Tribolium castaneum: one gene and its partner. The protein of the gene in region 2 interacts with the protein of the main gene of each other region in a pairwise test. Links are inferred from orthologs where the notes say so. Each region holds a gene or a part of one and is shown on either strand. Other genes may lie near its edges. The genes, in order: Ras85D and Rgl.

Region 1 (4,539 bases), on a different chromosome or scaffold from region 2:
TTAGTCAGTGTGGTAAGAATTGTGCGGTAATTGTTTTTCTGGTTTGTTAGCTGACAAAGAGGAGGGACGTAAGTTGGGCATAATTTTTATTTTTGTTTTTGTTGATTGACAATTTACTGTTGATTATTTTTTAGAGCAATTGGCAGCGCAGGTGTGCGTTCGATGCCTGTGGGATGACCCGAGACTGTACAGCGAGCGCCCGCCAATGTACACGTTTTGGAGGTTGCGGGACGCGTCTCAAATCAATAAAAACATCGTAACGAAATCGTGAGTCATTTGGTTGGGGTGGATTGGTTTAGTGGCTGGGTTGTTGCAGGTTTATGCAGAAAGTGATCGTCAGTATTCGGCTCAACGACCTGGCGGAGCCTTTGAAGAACTTGGCGTCGGAGCGTGAGTCACACGGTCCGCATCAGGGGAAAAACCGGATTTCGATTTATCGCGACATCTTGTTTCTGGCGTGTAAAGCGCTGGGGAGGAGTCATATCGACTTGAATGCGTTTGATAAACAATACAGTGCGGCTTATTATCGTGCGACTGAAAGGAATAATAGACAGTTTGAGCCCCAAGATAAACCTCTGAGTACGATCGCGTTGTATTGCCGTCAATACTTCCGCCCACTATCTTTGCCTTGATCAGTTTGTTTGTGTTCTTTTTGTTTAATTAATAAGGTGCACTGCTATATTTTAACTGTAGGTTTTTTCTTGGGTCTATAGTTTTCAATAAAGTTGTTGAATAAAACGAGGTGTGTAAATATTTAACATTTTATTAATAAGAGAATTTTAGTAGACATATCTATAAACTAAATTGCTACATATATTTTTATTTTGTTTTTTCTTCTTTTTGTATAATATATGAAGGCAAAATTAAAACTAGATTAGTAGAACATTAAGAAAAATCTCATATGAAAAAACGGGGAATAACATGTCAAGACCAAGATTAAGCTTAAACTTGGTTATATTTCTTTAACGATTGATCATTGCTTGAAGTTAACTATACTTTATGCCAGAATACGAGGAATAAAACGAAAACAAAACGAACTGGTTCAATTGGGAGGCAGATGAGCGATTAGTTTATTCATCGTATCCAGAAACATGACAAAAAATTCTCATTAAAGAGGATAACTACATTAATATCAACAAAAAACGAAGAGAACGAGTTCTCTTTGAGGCACATACAAATTTGTGCGCAAACTATACATGATATGCTATTCCTGAGATATTACATAATTAAAAGGAAATCCGTTAGAAACAATAATCTTAATATCAACTTTTCTCGCCAAAAATGTTGCGCAACTGTACAAATTTCTCGTCAGAACTAAATAAAACTATCAATAAAATATACATCACATTCAGAATATACATATAAAATTTTAATATCTGACATATATAAAACCGTGTATTTATCCTCTTTAAAACAAAAATTTGTGCAAAGAGACGAAAAATGTTTCCGAAGCTTTTTCAATATAATATCTAAAAAGTATTTACAGCAAATTTAAGAATCGACAAGTAAGAATATACTGAGCAGAAAAGACACACTTGAACTAAAAGCAAAACGTGGTACATAAAAAAACTTCTTTCATAAGCTTCCTCTTACACATTTTCGCACACTGGAATTATGGAAACACGCACACGAATTGTCAAATGATATAACAATCGGGGGAGAAGAGTGAAGCGTCGCTCCCCCCTATTACTTTTTACACTATCACACTTTCACAGAGGAGAAAAATGCGAAGCAAAACACGATCCCATTTTTTTAAATTTTTTTGCTGGTCATCGAAACGATGAGTCTGTCTTAAAGGATGGTGCATCGCAACTTAAAAGGAACACGACCGTGGCCGCCGATGTACCTGTGCTGGCGTTTACCGCTTCTCGTTTTGTCCTTACGTATTTCTCTAACTAACGTGTAAAATGCCTCGTCCACACCCATCCTGGTCTTCGCCGACGTCTCCACGAACGGGATCCCGTACTGCCGCGCCACCTAAACAAAATTCGCATTTTTATAATGAAGAAATATCGAGAAAAAAGCTATTTTATGTGATATTTTGAGTAGATCGAAGATTACTTTAACTCCTGCTAGAAAGAAAAAATCAAGATACACTCGCCCAACCATGAGTCACCCTGTATCAGTTGCTAAGCAACAGCGAGAGTCAAATTACAGGAACCTACTATCCAGGAAGGTGGATAAATGGGAAAAACAAGTGGAATGTTCTTAAATAAACCACTCGGCTCAGATAATAATAAGATTTGGTAGAAATATTTACTTAATTTCTTTCCTGTGATATAAACATATTAGTGAGTCATCAGCATCAATCATTTGTTTTTGCATTCCTCTTTCACCAACACCTATTGACGTATTTTGAATGAGGAAACCTACTCAATTGCTATAAATGTGTGATTTTTGTTGTCTTAAAAACACGTTAGAACAATTGGTTTGTTTAGGCGCCAGGTGTCTGGTTTAGTGAGAATTTTACCTCTCTGGCTTGGTTCATGTCTACAGCCCACGAAGTGAGGTCGCATTTGTTTCCTACGAGTACCATTGGTACGACTTCGGCATCTTTAACCCTTTTAATTTGTTCCCTGTATGTTCCAATGTCTTCGAAACTTTTAGCTGAATTAACGGCGAAAACCAAAAGGAAACCTTCCCCTGTCCTCATGTACTGGTCTCGCATGGCACTGTATTCTTCCTGTCCTGCCGTATCCAAAATATCCAGTAAACACGTTTCCCCATCGATGACTACTTGTTTTCGATAGGAGTCTTCAATGGTAGGGTCGTATTCGTCGACGAAGTGATTTTGGATTAATTGTATGGTCAAAGCTGATTTGCCGACACCACCTGCTCCAACTACTACTAGTTTGTATTCAGTCATTTTATGTAGAAAATACCAAAACGGCTAAGCAAACGAAAATACCAAGAAGCACACGGTTTTTAATTTTTTTTATTAATTTTTGCAGGCTATGCAGGTCTTCTTATTCGTTATCCCAGCATAATAAAATCAACACAGCACACATTTAAACTGAAGCAATTAAGAACACTCGTATGCCCAGTAAATTACTCTAATTAATTGTAATCAAGAACGAAAGAGTAACAAAAGTTATCAAGACCGTCAAATGCACTACTAAACAATGCTGCCAACACACCTTCAGCTTCACAACCCACCCATCATAGCATCACCACAGACGTAAACAACGTCAACCACTCTTTTGTACCCCAAACGCCTAGAAACGACGCACCATAACATGGTCTAAACCCCTCACGAACAAATTTTATTGCATAGAATCCACAAAAACGTGAGTTATACGATAGGTTCGAATTTTTATTCGTTGTCAAAGTCGAGAAGGGTCTCTCTATTTTGCCCACCTCTGTGAGCATTGTGTAGTGTGGCCAACGGCCCAAATCCCCTAAAGCCAATATGTCATCAGATGACAAAGATAAAAAATATTCGTAAAGAATTAATTTTAATGTTATTAATTACTCGAAGTTGATTTTCTGCAAGCAGGACGAATCAAAACCGCGCCTTTCCTTTACTTAACGATGTAACTTCTGTGTTGTTAGCTCCTGAAATTCGGAAAAGTGTCCCAGTTGTGTAAGGTTAAGGTGAGTAATCTCCTTGAAAAAATTGTCATGTAAGGCGATCCCCCGACAGTTGTGACAATGTCGAACAAACAGCAAGAAACCCCCGGCGGTTCCATGGACAACGTCCGAGTGAAGATATCCGAAAAGTACAAGCCCCCTCCACGGATAGGCCTGGCAATGTCCTACGCACAAAGACTCACTTTAAACAAGCAAATCCAAGATACGATCCCGCATTACGAGTTTGTTTTAGAAAAGACTGTAATAGAGAAAATGAAGGAGTGGAGGACCGCGCGATCTGTGATGTTCCAGCAGTTAAACGAGAGACTAGAGAAAGCGAGAGAGGAGAAAAAGCGGCAAGACGAGCAGACCGATTATCAGCTAGAAGAAGAGATCGAAGTTTCAAGCCCTAGTCAATGTTACCAACAAAACCAATCAATGTTAATGCCTGTCAAAACCTACTCCACTGTCCTGACCCCCGTCTCGTCCGGGAGCCAGACGGACAAAAGTCCGTTCAATATCTCCGACTTCGAGGCGGACACTTCGAGCCCCTTCGACAACATGGAGCTAAAGTCAATCAATGATTTGGAAGAGCTAGCGCAAGTTTTAAAAGGAGAAGAATCTAAACCCAACTACTCAACGCCCGCTTATCCCATGGTGGGCCCCAGCAACTACACCTACAACATTCCCAGCTCCACCAGTTACGTCCCCACGTCGCATTATTCGAACCACAACGGCTACTACTACGCCCCCGAAACGATACAAACCTACCCTTATAGTTACACAAACCAAGGCGAAAATAAGTACAGTTGTTCGCCCCAAGACTACAAAAGCATACCCGATATTATGAAGACGTTGCAAAACGAACTCGATAATACGCATATAGACAATACACGGAGCAAAAGTACTGACGTTTTTCCTAAACGGAGCGACGACTTAACCGACGAATTTACTTCTCTACCAAAGAAT
Region 2 (3,294 bases):
ATTAAAAGGTGGAACCTGTTGAAAATTTTGAAACCACAAAATCGAAGAATAAGGTAATGCGCAACGACTTCTAATTAATTTATCTTTTGTTTACATATGACAGACGGGACAAAAAATCTTGTGTGTAAAAATAGCTTTAAAAAATATTATTTATGTTCATAAACTTTATAAATCGTTTTGTTGTTATAAACAACATTTTTAGGAACATAGGAAATCTTATATTGATTTGCGCTACTCACTACTGCGGCATTCGAGTATTTAATTTTTAATTTCTATCGTGTTTTCAAATATTTAAATATCATGTGCACCTTGTTTCAACTAATTGCAATTATGTGGGTTTGTAAGCCAGCCTTATGTTTAGAAATCTATTACTTCATCATCTTTAAGGCAACACAATTTCTGTAACTTACAGGAAGCAAAATGTTTATCAATGACAACGAATGTCTTTTTTCTTGACATAAACCATTTTTTTCGGCACCTAATACAAACTTCTTTCTACAAAACGTTTAATTTAATAAAAATACTTAAAAATTTAGCTTATTTAGCTAAAAGTGCGTTCATATTTTTTTCACTAATTAGAGAAAGAAAATGTATATTTTAATTAATCTTTTATTAAATGTTTAATTAACTATGGAATATTATTTTGCTTCAAACACTTCGAACTTGAGGACGTGGCGCCCTCTAACCGCCACTGGCAGCTTTTCCAAGTTATAGAAAAATTTATTTTGGACCATTTCACAAAGTGATGAAAGAGTAATTAATTAGGGATTTTTAGATTGTGGGTTAAGAAGAAACACGAGTTCTGTATAATTTCCTTTATTACAAAAATAGGTACATTAGAAAGATGCTACAGAAAATATTGAAATTGATATTGTCTAAATTAAGTACCATTAGAGTAATTAACAAATTTGCCACGTCACTAGTAATGCTTGTTAATTAGTCAGGCTAAAGGTGAAAAAGTTGGTCCTACTTAACACACTCTACATTAATAAGTACAATAAATTACATTTGTTCACATTTACAATACTTAGCCCATTATTAATTTACATTAATTACACAAAAAGTAAAGCTTTAAATTAATTTAAAAAAGTGAAATAAATAAAACAATCCATGCCATATGGTTACTTCAGCACATTTCAAATCCTCATCGCAATAAATAAATAAAAATAAAAACGTAAAATGTGATGTAAAAAGAGAGTATTTGTGCTTTTTATCACAGTTGTTATTTGTTCCGTTATTTGTCAAAAACAGCTCATTTCATTTACCATTTAATTAAATTAAATTGCACCTATTATGTAGCGGCTTCACTTCCCTTTCTTCATACTAGTGTCAGACTCTTCGGATTTCTTCGGACGCAGAATAAAATTCAAGTTGTAGGCGGGATTCACGGCGTAGTAGACATTAGCATTTGATGGAAGGACCATCTCTGCAAAAAAATATTTCATCTTAACAATTTTTTTTAAATAATGCCACAATTTTTATTAAGTCCAATAAAATGTCTAACTCAACAAATAATAATTGAACAAACGTTCGACGTAGAAAACATAAGATTTTTCAAATATTTCGCTAAAAGGGCCCCTTGTGTTCATAAGATGACAATAAAAAACAATAACGAGAAGCGCCCAAATTTCAGAGATTCTCATTGTAAATACATCAAAAAAGCACCTTCCTCTGTATTTTTGGTACTCGAAAGTTTTTAAGTAATGTAACAGAAATCAATGATCAGCCAAACCTATTTGTGCCCACCTTTGCAGCAAATAGTTACCTAAGATTTTCTTAAAAACAAATTCTATTTTTGTTAATTGGTAATTTTCAATTTTTGGTTCAATTTAACAATATTTTAGCAGTGTTTGCATAATTAGCAGTGATTTTAAAATTTGTAAACTTGATACGTAAGCTCTATAAGTTTAATATTGGATTAAGACAAAAAGTTGCTGGAAAATTAAATGACGTTTTTGTGAGTTGAAAATTTTAACAAAACGGTTTCTTTAACAACTAGTAAATAGTACTATTAATTACTATTATAATTGTTATATCAATTAGTTATCAAAAAATAAAAATTTTTTTGTTACTAAGCTTTTAATTTTTATATCTTTATTCTAATTAAATTTACATCATTCCTTTGGTTCAGTTAGGTAAAATTTTAGTAGTACTTCTATCATTCAACGTAAAACGTTCCTTGTAAAATGTCTTTCGGGTTGCACAACTTTGTTTGCCTTGTTTAAAATGGTAATTTTTGGAAAAGATATTCAATGAGTCCTTGCTCATGTAAATGACTCAAAATTCATTATTTTCGCCAATATCTATAATAATGCTTTTGCATTTCATTTAGAGAAAGCTCCTTGCTTTCGAAGGAAAAAAATCGATTCGGAACTGCTTAAATAGCTTTATTTTGTCCAGAAAAAAATATTTGCTTAGTAGTTTTGATGAAATAAGTTGATATTCGATGATCCCTCGTTTATTATACGAGTAAGCTAAATAATTGGAAATCGCCAAGTCGCCTTATTATGGGTGAAAACTATGAGCTAAGTACTAGTTTTGGCAAAATATATAGTTTTTTTCATGTTACCTCTCTTATAAATGGGCTAAATAGGCCCAAAGCACTTTATTTTGGCTTAAAATAAAGTTTTTTTTGAGTTGGTTTTGATAAGATACGTGAGTTTTTTAGTTAGCTTCAAAATGCCTTTTAAATTATAATACATATTATAACTTTTTCCAAGAAGAACGATTTTTGGACTTACGAGTAGTATTTGTCGAAATATGCAGATTTCCAATGCTTTGGAGCGACTCAAAACGTCTTATTTTGGCCAAAAATAAAGAATTTCTAATTACTTTTGTTAAAATAAATTGAGTTTCGTTGATTTCTCGTCTATAGACAGAACTGAAAATCGTTAATCGCTTTATTTTGGTTGAAAACGATGTTTTTATTATTAGTTGTTAACATATCTTGATTCTATTCATAATTCCTAGCTTATAAACGAGCTAAATCGCTTTGGAATGCTCCAAAGTATCTGATTTCTTTTAATTGAAAATGCCAACATTTGTTTAAAATTAAAAATTAAAAATAGAATTAGAACAGCAGGATGCGGTTCGACCCCTATTATTATTTTTTCAAAAAACAATTCAAATTTTTTTAGAGATAGACCGTACAGACATAAAAAACATCTAACAGCACATATCAGCAGGTAATAAATGATAAAAATTTTAACAATTTTAATTGAGAGGTAAGGGAGTTTTTAACATTTAAGTTCTTTTATAGCACCTGTTCTCCCACTTTTTTGTCTTTCTGTTTAT

The links.
Region 1: the proteins of Rgl (region 2) and Ras85D interact in a two-hybrid assay, tested with the Caenorhabditis elegans proteins (3 studies listed by BioGRID). The link is inferred for Tribolium castaneum from reciprocal best matches to the Caenorhabditis elegans genes rgl-1 and let-60.

What each region holds. Positions count from the first base shown.
Region 1 is NC_087397.1:5,188,160-5,192,698, forward strand, and holds Ras85D (ras-like protein 1), read right to left. Parts: upstream 3,105-4,539; 5' UTR 2,867-3,104; coding exon 2,471-2,866; intron 1,978-2,470; coding exon 1,792-1,977; 3' UTR 748-1,791; downstream 1-747. Other genes in the region: DENN domain-containing protein Crag, read left to right, coding at 51-68, 135-267, 317-632; uncharacterized protein LOC663430, read left to right, coding at 3,652-4,539. UniProt on the Caenorhabditis elegans protein: GTP-binding protein with GTPase activity. The level of let-60 controls the switch between vulval and hypodermal cell fates during C.elegans vulval induction. May stimulate the guanine nucleotide exchange factor (GEF) activity of rap-1.
Region 2 is NC_087398.1:14,557,140-14,560,433, forward strand, and holds the end of Rgl (ral guanine nucleotide dissociation stimulator-like 1), read right to left. Parts: intron 1,427-3,294; coding exon 1,305-1,426; 3' UTR 801-1,304; downstream 1-800.